3 linked regions of the Anolis sagrei genome follow. The protein of the gene in region 2 purifies or fractionates together with the protein of the main gene of each other region. This does not show direct contact. Links are inferred from orthologs where the notes say so. Each region holds a gene or a part of one and is shown on either strand. Other genes may lie near its edges.

Region 1 (7,790 bases), on a different chromosome or scaffold from region 2:
TGAGCATGTCTGGAAGGATCAGGAAGCGGATCTTGCTTCCACGGATGTACACCTGCTCCAGCTGCGCCACACGTCCATCACGGTATGTCACTGTGATGTTCGACATCTGGCCACAGAAACAAGAATCATAATACATATATATAACGAGGAATAGCAGGAAGACATTGCCAGATTCTATTGTGTGTTAAAATGCTCCAGATGACTTGTTTTACAATGTTGCTTAAAAACCATTCCAAAAATCAGACATAAATAAAAGCCTAGTAGAAAATGTATTCATTCATACATATTTTTTAAGAAAATGTGTTTTAAAATATTAACAAATCTTAGTATCACTGTTTGTAATGATAAAAGGCAACAGTTTCCTTGTACTGATTAGAAAGAAAGCAAAATAGCCTTAACTCTTGCTCCCGGTAAAAACTTCATTGTAATTCATGCAATAACTTCACAGTAGTCTTCAAATTAGTGGATTTTTCAGCCTTAGTGGAGTCATTGTCTATTCATTTGTTATACCTTTCCTGCCACCTTGTCCAGAATGGTGAATTGTACGGTTTGATTTTTCATTAAAAAAATCAATCATTCAATAAGAAGAAATATAACAATAAGAAATATATTAATAAATACATCATTATTATTGCCTGAAAATAACAATATACAATAGCCATAATATAATAATAATAAATATAATAATGACATCATTATTTTAGCTGAAAATAATAATATAGAAATATCACAATAATATAATAATAAATATTATTATTGGAAACCACCATGAGTAGCAAAAGTAGTAATAGTTTTATTACTATTATTAATAAATAGAAAATAATCTAATAAATACATCATTATGATGGCCTGAAAATAATAATATATAATAACTACACTATAATACTATATAACAATAAGTATAATACTAAATACATCATTATTGCCTGAAAATAATAATATAGAATAATAATAATACTGTAACAACAATATAATTATAACAATAATAAATACAATAAATGTAACATGATTATTACCTGATAATAATAATAATAATCTTTATATTCCACTTTATCTCCCCGGAGGGACTCAGAACGGATTACAATACTGATATGAGGCAAACATTCAATGCCTTTTTACACACACAGTGAACAAAGACATATAAGACAAAGGTCAAGGGCTTCCGCCTTTTCCCATCTCCGGCATCTGGAGGTGATACTCAACTGAAGGTGATCTTGTTCCATTTTCCATGCTGAGGAGCCTGTTTTCCATAGACTTCTCTAATTGTATTGCCGGCATGTCTGTTTATCTGCATGGGGTGCCCTTTTCCCTTCCCACTGAGGCGGTACCTACTGATCTACTTGCCTTGCATTCTTTCAAACTGCTAGGTAGGCAGGAGCTAGAGCAGTTGGGAGCTTACCCTGACTCGTGGCTTCAAACAGTTGACTCTCCGGTTAACAGCCTTTCCTGCAGCTAGCAGCTTTAACCACTGTGCTACCACGGTTAATAACAAAATTAATAGCAAAGACATTGTTATTAATACCTGATGTGTAATGTGTTATTATTTAATTCATGGTAGTTTTTTGATTTGTTGGTTGCACCTTACAGCACTGAATGTTTCCCCATTGGGGAGATAGGGAGGGATACAAATAAAGTTTATTACTATAATTACAATTACAACAATAAATATAACAACAACAACAACAAATATAATAAGCTTACATCTGGATATTATTATTAGTAGTAAGCATATATATATTTAATATTCTTTTATGCCTTTCTCTGTCCACATATATGATCCTGTGCTATTCTTGTCCACTTCGGATAATTTTAATAGAATGTAATATATAATGTAATCTTCTGGTTTCTCTCCTTTAAATGTTAATGTTTTTAATTTTTATTAATCTAATTAAAATAAGTCCAGTTAAAATGGATTTGTAGTGTCATTTAATTATTTGTAATATTCCATGATTATGTGATGAAGGTGTATTATTTAACTACTGGTTGTCGTCTTTACTGTCGGTCGCCCTTTACAGCATTGAATGGTTGCTGCTCCATGTATCTTGAGAAGCGCTCTGAGTCCCCATTGGGGAGATAGGGTAGGATAGAAATAAAGATTCTTCTTCTTATTATAACAACAATAAATATAATAACGATAATATATTATTCGACAATGCAGATAACAATGTTATTATTAAGCCTTTGACAGTACAGATAACAATATATTAATAATAATAATAAATTAATCAATAAGCCATTGATACCTGGCAGTTCATGTTGTCCTCGGCCTCAATGAGCTTCCCGCGGTAGACCTCCCCGGTGTTTGTCTCGCAAGTGACAATGTGTCCCTCAGCCTCATGGAGGACCTTGATGGGGACCCCGATCGACATGATAAGGATGGAAGTGGGTGATGGACAGCTGGCCAGGAGAGAAAAGGGAGGGACAGGAAGTGAGCTCACAGGGGCCCCAACAAGGAGCCCCCGGTGGTGCAGTAGGTTAAACCCTGACAGGTCGCAGGTTCGAATCCGGGGAGAGGCGGATGAGCTCCCTTTATCAGCTCCAGCTCCTCATACATGAGGACATGAGAGAAGCCTCCCACAAGGATGATAAAAACATCAAATCATCCGGGCATCCCCTGGGCAACGTCCTTGCAGACGGCCAATTCTCTCACACCAGAAGCGACTTGCAGTTTCTCAAGTCACTCCTGACACGACAAAAAGAACAAAACAATAAAATAATATAATCAAGGAAAATATCATAATTATTATAATATAATATAATATAGCAATATAATATACTATATAATCACAATAAAGTCCAAAATGTAATAACGTAGAACTCATAATAATATAATCAAAAGAAAATATAATAATGCAATATAACATCATATATAAGAAAATACAATAATAATTGTAATAAAATCAAAAGAAAATGTAATATACGATATGCTATTACATTGTCTTATTTTATATTAGGTTATTATATAGTATATTATAGATTATGTATTAGATTCTATTACATTCTAGATTATGATACTCTCTTATTTTATATTATGTTACTATATACATACTATATTATATATTCGATCATCTATCGTTATACTACCTTATTTTATAGTAAGTTAATATATATATATAATATATTCTAGATTATTACACTTTCTTATGCTATTTTATATGATAATCTTCAATAATAAAGAACAAGCCTTCTCTCGTACGATTTCGGATGTCGCTACAGCGTGAATTCGATCAAAGCCCGGCCTCCCAGCATGCAAAGCGGAAGAGGAGGAAGCGGAAGTGTCGTCCGCTCCACCGCCACCCCGCGCTCTTTTTTTAAACCATAGATTTCCGTGCGGAACTTTTAGCAACGGCTTCCGGTTAATACCGGAAGTCATGACGTTCTATCCTTTCCACCTCTCCAATAGAAAGCTACGGGACTCTATGGTTACGAGCGGTGCGGTCCTTTTTGGGCTCCGGCGGGGAGACCCAAGGGCGGCGACTACAGTTCCGCTTTGTGTTTGCCTCATAAACGAACGGATTCCAATATCGTGCGTCTTGAGATGGTATTTCCATTGGAGTGAAGGTGGTCAAGACATGCGCATGCTCCGTAGGACTCAAAACAACGCCAGGGACGTGGCTTATCGGATAGTGGGCGGGGCAAGGCCTTTTTCGGAAGGGGCGTGGCTTCGGGAAAGGGGGCGAGGTTAGGGCCTTCCTTCTCTTGGTCTCAAGGGGCGGGGCTTGATGAGAGAGGGCGGGGCCAAGGCCTTCCAATCCTCTGGCTTTAGACGCAAGGGGCGAGGCTTAGTGATAGAGGCGGAGCTACGGCCTTGGTCTTAAATGCAAGGGGCGGAGCCAGGGCCACAAAGGCAAGGGGCGGGGCTTGGGGACAAAGGGCGGAGCCGGGGCCTTCCTCACCTCTTCAGGCCTGAAGTGAGCCGCAAGGGGCGTGGCCAGGGGCGTGGCCAGGGGCGGAGCCCGGCAGGAAGCGAGGAAGGGAGGCTTCCCTTCCTGCCTGCCTGCCTTCAGAGAGCCATGAAGAGCCCCAGAGAAGAGGAGGAGGAAGAAGAAGAGGAGGAAGAAGAAGAGGAGGAAGAAGAAGAGGCCCAGACCCCGCCCTCAGGTCGGTGGTGAGCCCCTGAGCATGCGCAGAGGGCACGGTCACTGAGGGCAAAGGGAGGGGGGGCAAAGACAGGAAGGGTCTCTGAGTAGGAGCAGGGAGTGTTAGCATACCCCTCATGCTGCTTCTGGCACCGCCATAGTGCTCCTTCACACTATTATTATGCCCCTTTGCACTCTTATCACACTGAATCGTAATTTTCCCTTGCACTTTGTGTCCCATTTGCATTATTATTACACGCGCTTACACTACACTACACCAGAGTCAGACATGACTGGACTTAATGTCAGGGGACTATTTATTTATTTATTTATTTACTACGCTTATATGCCGCAATTCTCAGCCTAATGGCGACTCATTGCGGTGTACAACATAGAAAAACAGGTGCAAAATACAAGACATAGTGACAAATAATCCGCAGTACATCATTAGCAAAACATCTCATCAAAAACATCAACATTATTACAAAGTCATTCCGAGTCGTCTCATCGTCAAGTTCACAATCCAATACCATTTCTATTGTTCCATTCCATGGTCAAGTTACCAGTCATTGCACTTCTATTCAAATGCCTTCTTAAACAGCCAGGTCTTCAGCTTCCTGCGGAAAATCAACAGGGAGGGGGCTAGCCTGATGTCTACGGGAAGGGTGTTCCACAGCCGAGGAGCCACCACCGAGAAGGCCCTATCTCTCGTCCCCGCCAGCCGTGCCTGTGACGCAGGCGGGATCGATAGCAGGGCCTCCCCGGAAGATCTCAAAGTCCTCGTGGGCTCATAGGCCGACTACCTTTACCTTACCTTACACTACTGCGATGCCACTCACACTGGATCATTGCGCCTCCACACATTATTATTATGCCCCTTCACATTATTGCGATGCTTTTTACACTGGATCGTAATGCCCCTCGCACTGTTATTACACCCCTTGTACTATTGCGATTCTCACACTGGAACATGATGTCTCTTGCACCGTTTAATATGCCCCCTCACACTGTTGCGATGCTTTTCACACTTGATTGTGAGGGGCCCCTCACGCTATTATTGCACCCCTCGCCCTTTTGCAGTGCTTCTCACACTGGCTCATGATGCCCCTCACACTATTATTTTATTTTATTCCGGCCCAATTTACCTGTCCGAACGTATCCTCCCCTATGAGCCATCAAGATTACTAAGATCGTCTGGAGGGGCCCTGCTCTCGATCCCACCGGCCTCACAGGCGCGGCTGGTGGGGACGAGAGACAGGGCCTTCTCGGTGGTGGCCCCTCGACTCTGGAACTCCCTTCCACTGGAGATCAGAACTGCCCCTTCGATCTTAACGTTCAGGAAACAGGTGAAAACCTGGCTTTGGGGACTGGCATTCAGCGAATGAGCCATGATCCTGTGATATGGATGGATGACGACGAATAATGACTTTGATGACGACTGACCAGTGTAATCATACGATTGTATTTTTGCTATTTTAATTGTTTCAATGTTTTAATGTTTTAGTGTGATTTAGAAATATGATGTTTTGATGACGGTCTGTAATATTGATGTTGGAAACCGGCCCGAGTCCCTCGAATGGAGGTGAGAAGACCGGTATACAAAACTACCAAATAAATAAATAAATAAATAATTTATATATTTCGGACATTTGTATCCCGTCCTATCTCAACCTCCACAGAGGGACTCAGGGCGGCTAACAACCGGCCTATTGTGTCCCACTCGCACTATTATTACACCTGCTTGCAATTCTTCTTGCGCCTGATCATAATTCCCACCCTTGCACTATTATTACGCCCCTCGTGCTGTCGCAATGCTTTTCACTGGATCGTGATACCCCCTTGCACTATTATCACACCCCCTTGCATTATTGTGATGCTTCTTGCACTGGATCATAATGCCCCTTGCAATATTATTATGCCTCCTGCACTAGTGTGATTCTCACATTGAATCATGATGCCCCTCGCACTGTTATGCCCCCCTTGCACTGTTGCTATACTGGATCATGATCCCTCCTCACACTATTATAACACCTCTTGCGTGAACTTAATGCCTGTCACACTATTATAGTGCCCCTTGCATTGGTACAATGTCACTTGCACTGTTACACCTCTCACACAATTGTAACCTCCCTTCTTTGCCCAGTTGTAACCTCCTTTGCACAATTGTCAAGTTCCCTTCATGGCCGTAACATCCTTCACACCATCATATAATGCCTCACACGATTGTAACGTTCCTTACACAACTGTAACCTCTGCTGCACGAGCATAATAACTGGAATGCCATTCACACGACTGTACAATCCATTTGTGTACTGTCACTTGCACAAGTGCGGTTACTAACTGCAAGGTCTCACTGTTCCTGGCATGATTGTAACACCCCCTTGCACAACTGCAATGCCCTTCACACGCTTGCGAACGCCTTTAGCACGGACCTCCCTTCCTGCAGTTTAGTTGTTCCTCAGTAGTCCTGAGTGGTTCCCATGAAGTATAAACGCCTTGTGTCTTTTCCCTCACACGACGGGGACATGCTTCGCACGGATATTGCACTGCAGTGGGAATAGTGCAGCTGAACGTTCCAGTCCTCCAGCAGCTCTATCACTGGGACTGCGGCCTGGCCTGCTCCAGGATGGTCCTCAAGTGAGTGCGACAGCCGTCTCATAATTGTGACCTCATTACACATATGCAAATAACACGATGAACGGATATAAGTATTATATTTTATGATGGTATAATTTTAATAGAATAATAATACATTGAAATAACATTATACATTTATATTATAATAATAATATAATATAATTAAAATAAAATTCAACAATATCCCAATTAAACAATATAATAATATGACAATTATATTATAATAGTAATTTAATAGAATAGAATAATGAAAGAATATAATATAATTGGTACATTATATTAACAATATAAATATATTACAGTAGAATAGAAAAAGAATATAATGAAAGAATATAAATCTTACAACAATAATATAATAAAAACAATAATATAATAGTACTATTATACCTAGTATAATTATTAAATTATCATATAATAGTTATATTAATTACAAACTAATATAATATAATGATTTAGTTATTATATTAAAGTACAATGGAATAATAGTATTATTAAAATTGTAGTATAATGATAATATAATAATTACATTATAATATAATAAATATTTATAATAATTATATAATTGTTACGTTATATTTATTATATTAATTATTCTATATAATAGTGCCACCAAAATATTTTACAACTTCTTCCTGGCAGGTACCTGAACCTCCTTGATGACGCCGAGTTCCAGAGGGCTGTCCAGGAGCTTGGTTTGACCAAGAGCATCTGGACCATCGACCTGGCTTACCTCATGCGCCACTTTGGGGTCCGGCACCGCTTCTGCACCCAGACCCTTGGGGTGGACAAGGGCTACAAGAACCAGGTACCCTTCCCCTCGGAAGGGGCCAAAGGAGGCCAGTTTCTCCCTAGAAAAGGCCCCAAAGGCAGGTTTCCCCTCAGAAAAGGCCAAAGGAGGCTGTTTTTCCCTCAGAAGAAGCCTCTTCTCCCTCAGAAAAGGCCCAATAAGGCATCCTTTGCCTGAAAAAAGGCCAAAGGAGGCAATTTTCCCTCAGAAAAAGCCCAAAGAGGCTTGCTTTCCCTCAGAAAAGGCCCCAAAATGCTTGTTTTCTCTCAGAAGAGGCCTCTTCTCCC
Region 2 (8,045 bases):
CATGGGCCATCCAGTCCAACCCCATTCTGCCAAGAAGCAGGAATATTGCATTCAAATCACCCCTGACAGATGGCCATCCAGCCTCTGCTTTAAAGCTTCCAAAGAAGGAGCCTCCACCACACTCGGGGGCAGAGAGTTCCACTGCTGAACGGCTCTCATGTTCAGATGGAATCTCCTCTCTTGTAGTTTGAAGCCATTGTTTTGTATCCTAGTCTCCAGGGAAGCAGAAAACAAGCTTGCTCCCTCCTCCCTGTGGCTTCCTCTCACATATTTATACATGGCTATCATATCCCCTCTCAGCCTTCTCTTCTTCAGACTAAACATGCTCAGCTCGTTAAGCCACTCCTCATAGGGCTTGTTCTCCAGACCCTTGATCCTTTTAATCGCCCTCCTCTGGCTTGTCAATATCTCTCTTGAATTGTGGTGCCCAGAATTGGACACAATATTCCAGGTGTGGTCTAACCAAAGCTGAATAGAGGGGTAGCATTACTTCCCTAGATCTATACACTAGGCTCCTCTTGATGCAGGCCAAAATCCCATCGGCTTTTTTTTGCTGCCACATCACATTGTTGGCCCATGTTTAACTTGTTGTCCACAAGGACTCCAAGATCTTTTTCGCACTGCTCTCGAGCCAGGCATTGTCACCCATTCTGTATCCTTGCATTTCATTTTTTTCTGCCTAAGTGGAGTATCTTGCATTTGTCACTGTTGAGCTTAGTTTTAGCCCATCTCTCTCATCTGTTCAGATCGTTTTGAATCCTGCTGCTGTCCTCTGGAGTATTGGCTATCCCTCCCAATTTGGTGTCGTCTGCCAACTTGATGATCCTGCCTTCTAACCCTTCCTCTAAAACATTAATAAAGATGTTGAACAGGACCATACTCAGGACGGAACCCTGCTTATATGGCACTCCCGAGGAAATACTGGGGAGCAGCCATTGGGTTCGTTCCCTTAACCAATTACAGATCCACCTAACCATAGTTTTGTCTAGCCCACATTTGACTAGTATGTTTGCCAGAAGGAAATGGGAGAACTTTTTGAAGGCCTTACTGAAATCCAGTTACGCTACATCCATGGCATTCCCTGCATCTACCCAGCTTGTAACTCTCTCAAAAAAAGAGATAAGATTAGTCTGACATGAATTATTTTTGATAAATCCATGTTGACGATCAACAAAGTGGAATAATAATCTTTTCATTCTTTTCAACGTGTTGCCTTAGAAGAACTTTGGTGGGGCCAAGGGCAAGGACCCAGCCAGGAAGACAAACACAAAAGTCCCCTCCCTCAGTGATTTCATCCTCTGATGAAGAGGACCTGTTGGAAGGGGCACTGTAAGCACTAGCAGCACATGATCATCAAGTTTGATCATCAAGCATGATCATCAAGTTTGCAGACGACACCAAATTGGGAGGGATAGCCAATAGTCCAGAGGACAGGAGCAGGATTCAAAGGGATCTTGACAGATTAGAGAGATGGGCCAAAACTAACAAAATGAAGTTCAACAGTGACAAATGCAAGATACTCCACTTTGGCAGAAAAAATGAAATGCAAAGATACAGAATGGGTGACGCCTGGCTCGAGAGCAGTACGTGTGAAAAAGATCTTGGAGTCCTCGTGGACAACAAGTTAAACATGAGCCAACAATGTCATGGGGCGGCAAAAAAAGCCAATGGGATTTTGGCCTGCATCAATAGGAGCATAGTGTCTAGATCTAAGGAAGTAATGCTACCCCTCTATTCTGCTTTGGTTAGACCACATCTGGAATATTGTGTCCAATTCTGGGCACCACAATTCAAGAGAGATATTGACAAGCTGGAATGGGTCCAGAGGAGGGCAACTAAAATGATCAAGGGTCTGGAGAACAAGCCCTATGAGGAGCGGCTTAGGGAACTGGGCATGTTTAGCCTGAAGAAGAGAAGGCTGAGAGGAGATATGATAGCCATGTATAAATATGTGAGAGGAAGCCACAGGGAGGAGGGAGCAAGCTTGTTTTCTGCTTCCTTGGAGACTAGGACGCGGAACAATGGCTTCAAACTACAAGAAAGGAGATTCCATCTGAACATGAGGAAGAACTTCCTGACTGTGAGAGCCGTTCAGCAGTGGAACTTTCTGCCCCGGAGTGTGGTGGAGGCTCCTTCTTTGGAAGCTTTTAAGCAGAGGCTGGATGGCCATTTGTCAGGGGTGATTTGAATGCAATATTCCTGCTTCTTGACAGAATGGGGTTGGACTGGATGGCCCATGAGGTCTCTTCCAACTCTTTGATTCTATGATTCTATGTGCACAGTTTAGAAGGTGTGCGGGAGGGCCTGTTCGCAGAGCACTTAATGCTTTTTTTCCAGAATCTTGCCTGGTATTGACGTGAAGCTGACAGGACAGTAATTGTTTGAGTCATCCTTTTGCCCTTCTTGAAGACAGATAGGGACCACATTTGCGCTCCTCCAATCTGCTGGGACATATCTGCGTGTGGACTCCGATAACAAAGCAGATATTGTGGGATTGTCTACCTTGATATTCTGGGATTATAGATCCACCTAGCCAATTACAGATCCTTTCTTTCCTCACCTCCTATCTTTTCCCCTTTTCTTTCTCTCTCTCTTTTCCTGTTTTCCTTCTTTTTTGCTTCCTTCCCTTCCCTTTACACACATGTCACTTAGCAGCAACCAAGCTACTTCACTCTTTTCCTTTCCCAGTGACATTATAGGGCTAGCAACAGATTGATAGATGATAGAGCAGGCCTGGGCCAACTTTGGGCCCTCTAGGAGTTTTGGACTCCAACTCCCATCATTCCTAACAGCCTCAGGCCCTTTTATTTTCTCCCTCAGCCGCTTAAGCGGCTGAGGGAGAAAATAAAAAGGCCTGAGGCTGTTAGGAATGATGGGAGTTGGAGTCCAAAACACCTGGAGGGCCCAAATTGGCCCAGGCCTGTTCTATAGTATGAAGCCACGTGGTTCTCCTCCTCACCCCTGCCGGGCGACCGCCCCCAGAGTGCTGGCCACTTCCGGGACGCAGTTGAGGTCTCTCCCGCAAGAGACGCGAGCCGCCGCCGAGCCGGGCCCGACCGAAGGCGCCGCCGCTGTGTTCGCCGCCATGTCCCGCCACACAGAGAAGCCAGAACCGTGAGCCCGCGCCCACTCTAGCACTTTAACCAATCCGCGGCCGTTTTACAGAAAGCAGCCAATCCAATGAGGCCTTTCAAAGCCAGAGTGGAGGGGGCGGAGTCAGCACCGGCCTAGCTAAACCAATCAAAATCCGAGCCGGAGTCAGTGACTGAGAGAGCATGAGGTAAAGGTTCTATTTCCCATCATGCACTCGGGAGGGGGAAAAAAGGCACATGACGGTGGAAGACTACACTTCCCAGGATGCATCGCGAAGCAGGCAACGCTATGGAATGCCTTATAAGGGAGGAGGTGGAATGCTCTGTTTGTGTCTGAGGGCCAGTGGCGCAATGGATAACGCGTCTGACTACGGATCAGAAGATTCTAGGTTCGACTCCTGGCTGGCTCGAAACAGACTTAACTTTTCTTCATTGGAAACTTTAGCAAGAGTAATTAAGATTCTGACCTTCTGATCTTCCAAACACATATTAACAGTTAAACTACAAGGAGGTTGAGTGCATTCTTAAAAGGGGGGTTACCACATTTACAATGTATTTCAAATGAATTTATTTCCAATTTTATTTATTTATTTACACTGAATTTATTTCCAATTTTATTTATTCATAATTTATTTACAATTTTATTTACTTATTTATTTACAAAATATTTACAATGAATTTATTTCCAATTTTATTTATTTATTTAAAATTTATTTACAATGAATCTATTTACAATTTTATTTATTTATTTATTTACAATGTGTTTAGAAAGAATTTATTTACAATTTTATTCATTTGTTTATTTACAATTTATATACAATAAATCTATTTATAATTTATTTATTTATTTATTTACAATTTTTGTATTTATTTATTTACAATTTACTTATTTACAATTTTATTTATTTATTTACAATTTATTTATTTATTTATTTACAATTTATTTACAATTAATTTATTTACAATTAATTTATTTACAATTTATTTATTTATTTACAATATATTTACAATGAATTTATTTACAATTTTATTTATTTATTTATTTACAATGAATTTATTTATAATTTTAGTTATTTACTTATTTACAATGCATTTATTTACAATTTTATTTATTTATTTACAATATATTTACAATTAATTTATTTACAATTTTATTTATTTATTTATTTAAAATTTATTTACAATTTTATTTATTTATTTATTTAAAACTTATTTACAATGAATTGAGAATGAAATTCTTGTTTATTCACATTTGGTAATACAGTTTATCCCTTATCTGAAATGCTTGGGATACAAAGTGTTTTGGATTTTGTTTTTTTACATATACAAGATAATAATAATAAGAAGAAGAAGAACTCAAGAATGGAAAATGGAACGTTGGTGAACAGGAAAAGAGATTTAAAGATGGGCTCAAAGCCAACCTTAAAAACTCTGGCATAGACACTGAGAACTGGGAAGCCCTGGCCCTTGAGCGCTCCAGCTGGAGGTCAGCTGTGACCAGCAGTGCTGCAGAATTCGAAGAAGCATGAATGGAGGTTGAAAGGGAGAAACGTGCCAAGAGGAAGGCGTGTCAACCCAACCCAGACCAGGACCGCCTTCCACCTGGAAACCAATGCCCTCACTGCGGGAGGAGATACAGATCAAGAAGAGGGCTCCACAGTCACCTACGGACCCACCTTGGAGGATTATCCTACTCGGACAGCGAGGGATGGCCTAAGTAAGTAAGTAAGAAGAAGAGTTCAAACTACTCTGGGACTTCCGAATTCAGACAGACAAGAGTTTTGGAACACAACACTCCATACCTCACGATCGTGTTAAGAAACAAAGTATGGATCATCAATGTAATCCTGGGTGATAGCAGGATTGAAGGGAAACAACTGGAAAAGTTGGAAAAGCTGACACGATATGAGGATTTAAAGATCGAACTGCAAAGAGTCTGGCACAAGCCAGTCAAGGGGGTCCCAGTGGTGATCGGCACACTGGGTGCAGTGCTTCAAGACCTTGGCCTGCACTTAAAAACAATCGCCACTGACAAAATAACCATCTGTCAGCTGCAAAAGGCCACCTTACTGGGATCTGCACACATTATTTCTATTTATTTAGGGCATTTATATCCCGTCCTATCTCATCTCCGCAGAGGGACTCAGGGAGGCTAACAACCGGCACAGCACAGTGCCCACAATAAGAAAAGCATAAATATACATAATATAATATAATAAAAACAGTTTAGTACCATTTAATATTTGTATTGTTGACTGGAATCACTGGGTTGTAGGTTTTTTCAGGTTATATGGCCATGTTCTAGAGGCATTCTCTCCTGACGTTTCGCCTGCATCTATGGCAAGCATCCTCAGAGGTTGTGAGGTTGGAACTAGGAAAATTGGGTTTATATATCTGTGGAATGACCAGGGTGGGACAAAGAACTCTTGTCTGCTGGAGCTAGGTGTGAATGTTTCAACTGACTGCCTTGATTAGCATTTGATGGCCTGAATCTGGAACTTCCAGATTCAGATTTGCAACCATAAAATTATTTTTGTTCCTACTTCATAACTGTAATTTTCCTACTATTATGAATTGTAATGTAAATATCTGATATGCAGGATATATTAATTAACTGGATGGAATTCGGCACAAATACCCGATAGGCCCAAATTTGAATACTGGTGAGGTTGGAGTGGGGATTGATTTTGTCAATTGGGAGTTGTAGCTGCTGGGATTTATAGTTAGCCTACAATCGAAGAGCATTCTGAACTCCACCAACAATGGAATTTAACCAAACTTGGCACATAGAACTCCCATGACCAACAGAAAATACAGAAAGGGTTCAGTGGCTTTGACCTTGAGTTTTGGATTTGTAGTTCACCTACATTCAGGGAGCACTGTGGACTCAAATAATGATCGATCGGACCAAACTTGGCACAAATACTCAATGTGCCCAAATGTGAACACTGGTGGAGTTTGGGAGGAAATAGACCTTGACATTTGGGAGTTGTAGTTGCTCGGGTTTATAGTTCCCCTACAATCAAAGAGCAGTGTGAACTCCACCAACAATAGAATTGTTGCCCAGCTTACCTGTCTGAACATATCTCCCTCTATGAATGTTCTGTTGCGTGCTGGACCTGTAAAGAATTTCCTTTTAGAACAGGACGTGCAACCTTTGCCCAGCGGGAAGCCAGGGGGCCCAAGGAGAAGTTCTCAGAGGTTTTCCACCACAAATGATCTTTAGATGGCTTGTGAAGTATAACAAAGTATTTTATTAATGAAGAATCAAACAGAAACTTCTCTTGTCTTCAATAAAGCTAAACAAATGATTCCAGACTTTAATGCAACTGGTAGCTTCCTAAACTTGCCCATGAAGGACAGGCAACTGCCTTCAATAACTTCTTCTTTACTTTAAAGGAAAATCCCCTTTTTAACTTCTCCCTGGCTGACTGTAATCTAACCCTTACTGATGTGGGCTCCGCTACCGGGTTGAACTGCTTCTCGAACGCCGAGTGAACCTACCAGTAAAGGTTTAGATGTTCTCCAGCTGGAGTTCTTTGGTCTTTAGGGCTGTTTCCCTGAAAATCTTTGGAGACTCTTAAGACTGTTCTCCCGGAAAGTCTTAAGGGTTGAAGCTTTTGTACAGGGGAAGCTTGCACACGTCCTGTACATTAGCTTTCCTTGCTGAGACTAACTAAAATTGGCTCCCTTCCCGATGATGGACAGGTGACTTGCCCTACGACTGCAACCAAAGAAAGCCACCTATCTGCAGAGTCCCTGCAACCTTGGACTGCAAGCAACATCTAATACAAAGTAAATACAGTTGGAGCTCCTGGTATAGCTGTACCAGCACAATGAACCATCTCAGAGATTAAGGTAATTTGGGGAGGCCCTGCTCTTGGTTCCACCTTCCTCGCAAGTGTGATTGGTGGGGACGAGAAACAGGGCCTTCTCAGTACTTACTTACTTATTTAGCGATCCCTCGTTGGACGAGTAAGATGGTCTTCCATTATGGGTTTTCCTGTGGGTCCGCGTGTGGCTGCGGCGCCCTATTCTTGCTCTGCATCTTCTTCCGCAGTGTGGACATTGGTTTCCAGGTGGAAGGCGGTCCCGGTCGGGGTTGGCTTGATGCGCCTTCCTCCTGGCACGTTTCTCTCTTTCACCCTCCACTCGTGCCTCCTCAAATTCTGCAGCACTGCTGGTCACAGCTGACCTCCAGCTGGAGCAGTCAAGGGCCAGGACTTCCCAGTTCTCAGTGTCTATGCCAGAGTTTTTAAGGGGCCATCTTTAAATCTCTTTTCCTGTCCTCTAACATTCCGTTTTCTGTTCTTAAGTTCAGAGTAGAGCAACTGCTTTGGGAGACGGTGGTCAGGCATCCGGACAACGTGTCCGGCCCAGCGGAGTTGATGTTGGAGGACCATCGCTTCAATGCTGGTGGTCTTTGCTTCTTCCAGCACGCTGACGTTTGTCCGCTTGTCTTCCCAGGAGATTTGCAGGATTTTCCGGAGGCAGCGCTGATGGAATCGTTCCAGGAGTTGCATGTGACGTCTGTAGACAGTCCACGTTTCACAGGCATATAGCAGGGTTGGGAGGACAATAGCTTTATAGAGAAGCACCTTGGTCTCCCTACGGATGCCTTCTCAGTGGTGGGTCTTTGACTATGGAACCCCCACCAACAATAGAATTGGGCAAAATTTCCCACACAGAACCCCCATGACCAACAGAAAATACTGTGTTTTCTGATGGTCTTTGGTGACCCCCCGACACCTCCTCGTGACCCCCCTCAATGGTCCCGATCCCCAGGTTGAGAAACACTGATCTAGCCCAACTACATAGAATTCAGGAATGTAGATAACTAAAGCATTCCTTTAAAAGATACCATTTGTTTGAAGACCTTCAAATATGGAGAGTTCACCACACTCCAAGGAAATATATTTTTTCTGCTGAACAGTCCTTACAACAACAACAAAA
Region 3 (8,205 bases), on a different chromosome or scaffold from region 2:
GCAGCCAGGCTTTGAAGCTACAAGGCCATTCAATGCTAAACAAGGTGGGCAATTGCAACATTCACACTTGCCTCAAAAAGGCAAGAGTTACAGGTTGCTGTGAGTTTTCCCAGCTGCCTGGCCATGTTCTAGAAGCATTCTCTCCTGATGTTTTGCCTGCATCTATCGCAAGCATCCTCAAAGGTTGTAAAGCCTGTTGGAAACTAGGCAAGTGGGGTTTATATATCTGTGGAATGATGTCCAGGGTGGGAGAAAGAACTCCCACATGAAACATGAAACAATTCCAGACAGGAAACAATCAAGGCCAGCTAACACCTCGTAAGAAAGCATTCACAATCATAAAAATTGGCTATGATGATGGATTCTGGAGGTTTGCAAGCAGAGGTTGGATGACCATTTATTGAGAAGGCTTTTTATGGTATCTTGGTTGGAAAGGGTTGGATTGGATGGTAATTTTGATGATGTTTATGTTTTGGTGTTATAAACAACAAACAACATCATCAAAATTACATAGACAAAGAAAAAAGTATATACAATAAAGGGGTTGCTTTCAAGTCTATGAATCAATAATCATAATCACAATCATAAAAATTGGCTATGATGATGGAGTCTGGAGGTTTGCAAGCAGAGGTTGGATGACCATCTATCGGGAGGGCTTTTTATGTATGGTATCTTGGTTGGAAAGGGTTGGATTGGATGGCAATAGAGGGGGTCGCTTTCAATTCTGTAAATCAATAAAAATAATAATCATGATCATCATCTTCATCAGCGATGATGATGGAGTCTTCTTCTCTGGAGGCTTATATGCAGAGGCTGGATGGCCATCTATCAGGAGGGCTTTGATTGTGTCTTTCATTATGGCAGAAGGGGGCTGGAATGGCAGGTCTTTGGGGTTCTCCAGTGGAATATGAATTGCCTTGGAGACTGGTGGCATCTCCTCAATATTTTTTAAAGCAGAGGCTGGATAGCTGTCTGTCAGGAGGGCTTTGATGGTGTCTCTATGGCAGAAAGGGACAGGAATGGATGGCCTTTGGGGTTCTCCAGTGGAATATAAACTGCCTTGGAGATAGGCGGAGCCTCCTTCTCTTGAAGTATGTTTGAAGCAGAGGTTGGATGGCAGTCTGTCGGGAGGGCTTCGATGGTGTCTTTCTTTACGGCAGAAGGAGGCTGGACTGGGTGACCTTTGGGGTTGTCCAGTGGAGTATGGGCTGCCTTGGAGACTGGTGAAGTCTCCTTCCCAAAGTTTTTTAAAGCAGAGGCTGGATGGCCATCTGCTGGGAGGGCTTTAATGGTATCTTTGCAGAAGGGGTTGGACAGAATGGTCCTCTTCTCTAGAAGTTTTTAAAAGTAGAAGCTGGATGGCCATCTTTCAAGGGGCTTTGATGGTGTTTTTCTGGCAGAAGGGGACAGGACTGGATGGCCTTTGGGGTTCTCCAGTGGAATATAAACTGTCTTGGAGACTGGTGGAGTCTACTTCCCAAAGTTTTTTTAAAGCAGAGGCTGGATGGCCATCTGTCGGGAGGGCTTTGATGGTGTCTTGGCAGAGGGGTTGAACTGGATGGTCCCCTTCTCTAAAAGTTTTTTTAAAGCAAAGGCTGGACATCCAACTGTCGGAAGGGCTTTAATTGTGTCTTAATGGCAGAAGGGGGCCAGAGACTGGTGGAGTCTCCTTCTCCGGAGGTTTTTCAAAGCAGAGGCTGGACGTCCATCTGTCGGGAGGGCTTTAATTGTGTCTTAATGACAGAAGGGGGCCAGGGACTGGTGGAGTCTCCTTCTCCTGAGGTTTTTCAAAGCAGAGGCTGGACGTCCATCTGTCGGGAGGGCTTTAATTGTGTCTTAATGGCAGAAGGGGGCCAGGGACTGGTGGAGTCTCCTTCTCCGGAGGTTTTTCAAAGCAGAGGCTGGACGTCCATCTGTCGGGAGGGCTTTAATTGTGTCTTAATGGCAGAAGGGGGCCAGAGACTGGTGGAGTCTCCTTCTCCTGAGGTTTTTCAAAGCAGAGGCTGGACGTCCATCTGTCGGGAGGGCTTTAATTGTGTCCTTATAGCAGAAGGAGGATAGAGACTGGTGGAGTCTCCTTCTCCTGAGGTTTTTTAAAACAAAGGCTGGACGTCCATCTGTCGGGAGGGCTTTAATTGTGTCTTAATGGCAGAAGGAGGCTACAGACGGGTGGAGTCTCCTTCTCCTGAGGTTTTTCAAAGCAGAGGCTGGATGGCCATCTGTTGGGAGGGCTTTAATTGTGTCTTAATGGCAGAAGGAGGCTACAGACGGGTGGAGTCTCCTTCTCCTGAGGTTTTTCAAAGCAGAGGCTGGACGTCCATCTGTCGGGAGGGCTTTAATTGTGTCCTTATAGCAGAAGGAGGCTAGAGACAGATGGAGTCTCCTTCTCCTGAGATTTTTTTAAAACAGAGGCTGGACGGCCATCTCTCGGGAGGGCTTTAATTGTGTCTTAATGGCAGAAGGAGGCCACAGATTGGTGGAGTCTCCTTCTCCTGAGGTTTTTAAAAGCAGAGGCTGGACCTCCATCTGTCGGGAGGGCTTTAATTGTGTCTTTATGGCAGAAGGGGTTTGGACTTGATGGCCCCCTTCTCTGGAAGGTTTTTCAAAGTAGAGGCTGGACGTCCATCTGTCGGGAGGGCTTTAATTGTGTCCTTATGGCAGAAGGAGGCTAGAGACGGGTGAACTCTCCTCCTGAGGTTTTTTAAAACAGAGGCTGGACGTCCATCTGTCGGGAGGGCTTTGATGGTGTCTTTATGGCAGAAAGAGGTAGAGACTGAGATTTTTAAGAAAGAGGCTGGACGGCCATCTGTCGGGAGGGCTTTGATGGTGTCTTGGCAGAAAGGGGTTGGACTTGATGGTCCCCTTCTAAGGAAGGTTTTTCAAAGCAGAGGCTGGATGGCCATCTGTCTTTATGGCAGAAGGAGGCCAGAGACTGATGGAGTCTCCTTCTCCTGAGGTTTTTTGAAATAGAGGCTGGATGTCCATCTGTCTGGAGGGCTTTGGTGGTGCCTTTATGTCAGAAGGGAGCCTTTGGAGCCCCCTCCCCTGAGCCTAGAGGAGGAGAGGAGCCCCCTACTCACCGTCCATGGTTGTGCTGCTGAACCCGCCCTGCATCTGGGCGAGGGGGTCCCCCATGGCCCGGGGGAGGAGGCCCGAGGAGCGAAGGCGGGCCTGAAGGCCTTCCCGAGCGGCGGCGAAGTCAGCCCACCCTCCCTCCCGCGGGGCCGCAGAGCTCTTCCGGGTCGGGGCCTGGGCCTAGCCGAAGCCTGGGGCTCGCCTGCCTGCCTGCCCGCCGGGAGCCGGAAGCCTGAGGGAGGCGTCGCGGGGCGGAATGGCTCCGTCCGAAGTGCTGCTGGGAAGGCCCCGCCCACTTCCCCCTGTCGCCGCCGCCTTTGGGTCTCTCTCTCTCGCCCCGCCCCCTTTATGCAAATCTGGAACCAAAAGGGGGCGGGACTTATGCAAACCCGGAAAGGGCGCGAGGGAGAAGTAGGAACCTAGAAGAACAACAACAAAGAAAATGGCGCCTGGCGGAAGTGGATTCTCTCCTCCCGGAAGTAGTTCCCGTCGATGCCGGAAAAGAAGGCCCTGACGAACGGCGAGGGTCCAAGATGGCGGAGGTGGTAAGTGAGGAAACCAGAAGGGATTTTTTGGAAAGGGAAAGGGAAGGGGAAAACGGTGGGAAACGCTGCCGGCTCCACATGGGTCTCCGTTGCAGGAGGAAGTCACCGAGGGCTGCCGCCTGCCCGTGCTGCGCCGGAACCAGGACAACGAGGACGAGTGGCGTGAGTGAGGGGCGGGGCTACAAGGCGGTGGGCGGGGCCAAGGGGTGTGATTGACGGGTTGGTTCCAGAGGTGAATAGCGGCGCCCATCTCGTTGGCGGGACTATAAAGTGGTGGGCGGGGCCAAGGGGTTGTGATTGACGGGTTGGTTCCTGAGGTGAATAGCGGCGCCCATCTCGTGGGCGGGGCTACGAGGCGGTGGGCGGGGCCAAGGGGGTGTGATTGACGGGTTGGTTCCTGAGGTGAATAGCGGCGCCCATCTCGTGGGCGGGACTATAAAGCGGTGGGCGGGGCCAAGGGGGTGTGATTGACGGGTTGCTTCCTGAGGTGAACAGCAGCGCCCATCCCGTGGGCGGGGCTACGAGGCGGTGGGCGGGGCCAAGGGGGTGTGATTGACGGGTTGGTTCCTGAGGTGAATAGCGGCGCCCATCTTGTGGGCGGGGCTACAATGCGGTGGGCGGGGCCAAGGGGTGTGATTGACGGGTTGGCTCCAGAGTTGAACAGCGGCGCCCATCTCGTGGGCGGGGCTACAAGGTGGTGGGCGGGGCCAAGGGGGTGATTGACGGGTTGGTTCCAGAGGTGAATAGCGGCGCCCATCCCGTGGGCGGGGCTACAAGGCGGTGGGCGGGGCCAATGGGGTGTGATTGACGGGTTGGTTCCAGAGGTGAGCAGCGGCGCCCATCTCGTGGGCGGGCCTACAAGGCGAGGGGCGGGGCCAAAGGGCGTGATTGACGGGTCGGCTCCAGAGGTGAGCCGCGGCGCCCATCTCGTGGGCGGGGCTACAAGGCGAGGGGCGGGGCCAAAGGGTGTGATTGACGGGCTGGCTCCAGAGGTGAAAAGCGACGCCCATTCCGTGGGCGGGGTTACAAGGCGGTGGGCGGGGCCAAGGGGGTGATTGATGGATGGGTTCCAGAGGTGAGCAGCGGCGCCCATCCCTTGAGCTGGCCAATCCCATTGGCATCCAGGATGGTCTGTCAGCAGGGAGTCCTGGCGCTGGGATCTGAATCCCTCCCAGGCGGATGGCTATTGTGTCCCTGAGAGTAAGTATGGTCTAAGGATATACACCCAGTCCATCACAACAATAGAAAAAAAATATAAAATGAAATAATAAATAAAATAATAACATAATATAGGATAAAACCATAAAATACAATAGTAAATAAAATAATTCTATAATATAATATATAAAACAATAAAATACAATAGTAAATAAAATAATTCTATAATATAATATATAAAAAATACAATACAACGGTAAATAAAATAATTCTATAATATAATAAATAAAATTATAATAGAATAAAATAAGTAAATTTATAATTTATAATTTTTATTATTATTATTATTATTTGCTTTATTTCTATACCGTATTTTTCAGCCCTTAACAGGCGACTCAATAGAATAGAATACAATAATAAATAAAATGTTAAAATGATTATTTTAATAAGTATAAAATAATCATAAATAAAATAGAAAATAAAATAATAAACGAAATGATTATTTCAGAATGTAATATACGATCAATAAAGTAATAAAATATTAATTAAAATAATTATAATCTAATAAATAAAATAATAAATAAAATAAATAAAATAAAAGAATAATAGTATATAAATATATATAATATAAATATAATATAAAAGAATAATATAATACATAAAGATAAAATACAATAGTAAATGAAATAATTTTATAACATACTAAATAAAATGATAATATAATAAAATAAGTAAATTTATAAAAGAATACTATAATAAATATAATATTAAAATAATTATGGGTTTTAATAAATATAAAATAATCATAAAATAAAAAATGAAATAATTATTTTATAGTGTAGTATATGATAAATAAAGTAATAAAATACTAATTAAAATAATTCTATAATATAATAAATAAATACAATAGTAAATATAATAATAAAATAATAGTAAATAAAACAATAATGTATAATATAATGTAATATAATCAATAAAACAATAAATACGATAGTAAATAAAGTAATTATATAATATAATAAATAAAACTATAATATAATAGAATAAGTAAATCTATAAGAATGCAATAATAATAAAGTAAAATATTAAAATAATTATGTATTTTAATAAATATCGAATAATAAATAAAATAATATATAATATAATAATAGTATAATATATTATAATACTATAATATAATAATAGTAAGTAAAACAATAATATAATGTAATCAATTAAACAATAAAATACAACATTAAACAAAATAATTCTATAATATAATAAAATTAGAATAGAATAACATTATAATAGTATACAATAACAAATATAATAAAAATAAAAAAATTAAAATAATTATGTATTTTAATAAATATAAAATAGTCATAAATAAAAATAAAATAAAATAATAGTAAATAAAACAATAATGTAATATAATATAATCAATAAAACAATAAAATGCAATAGTAAATAAAATAATTATGTAATATAATAAATAAAATTATAATATAGAATAAGTAAATTTATAATAGAATATACAATAATAAATATAATAATAAATAAAATAAAATAATAAATAAAATAATAATATAATGTAATATAATCAATAAAACAATAATAAAATAAAATAGTAAATAAAATATATAATACAGTAATTATAGTAATATATTTGCTATAAATAAAATAGTATATAAAATATATAATACAGTAAATATAGTAATAGTATAATTACTGTATTATATATTTATAATACAATAGAAGGGTGGTATATAAATGTCATAGATAAATAAATAGATTATAATTTATTTATTATATAATTATTTTATTTATTAATATAGTAATAATATAATAATAAAATAATGATATAATAAATAAATTATAATCTATTTATTTATCTATGACATTTATATACCGCCCTTCTCATACCGAAGAGGACTCAGAGCAGGTTACAAATTATATGCACATACAATATAATATAATAATAAAACAATAAATTATAAAAATTTAATACAAAACAATAATAAGTAAAATAAGATATTATAATAATAAAATAATAACATAAAATAATACGTTTCAACCATGAGTATTGATTTACATCCTGAAAATCCTTTATAGATCTATTGTGTATCTATCTGTGTTTGATGCAAGTTTTTCCAAACATATTTTTGCATTTTTTAAAATCTATGTAAGGTATTGTATGTATTGGAGTCCCAGTTGTGCAGTGGGTTAAACCATTGTGCTGGGAGGATCTGCCTGAGCGAATCTGAGGAGAGTGCGGATGAGCTCCCTCTGTGAGCTCCAGCTCCCCATGTGGGGACATGAGAGAAACCTCCCACAAGGATCATCAAAAACATTCGCGCATCCCCTGGGCAATATCCTTGCAGACAGCCGATTCTCTTACACCAGAAGCAACTTGCAGTCTCTCAAATCGCTCTTGGCATGAATATATATATATGAACATATATTATGTTCATACATTTTTGACTTTTGCTTTCCATAACAGAATGCTTTTTCTCTTCTATCAACAGCGCTGGCCGAAATCCTCAGCGTCAAGGACATCAGTGGCCGGAAGCTTTTCTACGTTCACTATATTGACTGTGAGTAGATACGGTGCCGATGAATCTATAGAGTGGGGAGAAGCCTACAAGGAAAATACTGAAATAGGACTTTCTGATGGGAAGGAAGTTTATGAAGACCAGGCTCATAGTATTTAGAAACTGAAATAATTTATTAAGCTCGTTTACTGTGTTACATCAAGGTGGACACTCATTCAGAAAGATTTTGTCCTATATATCTATATAAATAAAGATGTAATGTTCATTTGTGGGATTCACAGAACTCAAAAACCACTGGGAGAATTGACACCAAATTTGGACACAAGACACCTATCAGGCCAATGTATGTCCTTCACTCAAAAAAAAAATGATTTTGTCATTTGGGAGTTGTAGTTGCTGGGATTTATAGTTCACCTACAATCAAAGAGTATTCTGAACCCCACCAATGATGGATTTGAACCAAACTTGGCACACAGTTCTCCCATGACCAACAGAAAATACTGGAAGGGTTTCGTGGGGTGTCCTTTGGTTTTGGAGTTGTAGTTCACCTACATCCAAAGATGACTGTGGACTCAAATAATGATGGATCTGGACCAAACTCCACACGAATACTCAATATGCCCAAATGTGAACACTGGTGGAGTTTGGGGAAAATAGAATCTTGACATTTGGGAGTTGTAGTTGCTGAGATTTATAGTTCACCTACAATCAGAGAGCATTCTGAACCCCACCAACGATAGAATTGGGCCAAACCTCCCACACAGAACCCCCATGTGGGCCACAGCAACGCGTGGCAGGGGACGGCTAGTAACATTCACACAGTTAAAGGTGAAAGGTAATAGTGCAGTCCTGCAATATATGAAGCGCCACAGTAAACCTTTACCTTTATTATATGA

The links. Proteins that work in one complex are often made in the same cells at the same time.
Region 1: the proteins of PRMT5 (region 2) and SNRPD3 purify together in Homo sapiens (affinity purification with mass spectrometry; 3 studies listed by BioGRID and IntAct, with this or other methods). This does not show direct contact. The link is inferred for Anolis sagrei from reciprocal best matches to the Homo sapiens genes PRMT5 and SNRPD3.
Region 3: the proteins of PRMT5 (region 2) and RELA purify together in Homo sapiens (affinity purification with western blotting; 3 studies listed by BioGRID). This does not show direct contact. The link is inferred for Anolis sagrei from reciprocal best matches to the Homo sapiens genes PRMT5 and RELA.

The regions. Positions count from the first base shown.
Region 1 is NC_090034.1:49,010,044-49,017,833, forward strand, and holds the start of SNRPD3 (small nuclear ribonucleoprotein Sm D3), read right to left. Parts: upstream 3,302-7,790; 5' UTR 3,197-3,301; intron 2,398-3,196; 5' UTR 2,370-2,397; coding exon 2,244-2,369; intron 107-2,243; coding exon 1-106. Other genes in the region: protein GUCD1, read left to right, coding at 4,014-4,101, 6,632-6,716, 7,356-7,521. UniProt on the Homo sapiens protein: Plays a role in pre-mRNA splicing as a core component of the spliceosomal U1, U2, U4 and U5 small nuclear ribonucleoproteins (snRNPs), the building blocks of the spliceosome.
Region 2 is NC_090026.1:9,494,945-9,502,989, reverse strand, and holds the start of PRMT5 (protein arginine N-methyltransferase 5), read right to left. Parts: upstream 3,126-8,045; 5' UTR 3,088-3,125; coding exon 2,960-3,087; intron 1-2,959. UniProt on the Homo sapiens protein: Arginine methyltransferase that can both catalyze the formation of omega-N monomethylarginine (MMA) and symmetrical dimethylarginine (sDMA), with a preference for the formation of MMA.
Region 3 is NC_090032.1:9,830,966-9,839,170, forward strand, and holds the start of RELA (transcription factor p65), read right to left. Parts: upstream 3,302-8,205; 5' UTR 3,136-3,301; coding exon 3,081-3,135; intron 1-3,080. Other genes in the region: histone acetyltransferase KAT5, read left to right, coding at 3,609-3,620, 3,716-3,782, 7,283-7,351. UniProt on the Homo sapiens protein: NF-kappa-B is a pleiotropic transcription factor present in almost all cell types and is the endpoint of a series of signal transduction events that are initiated by a vast array of stimuli related to many biological processes such as inflammation, immunity, differentiation, cell growth, tumorigenesis and apoptosis.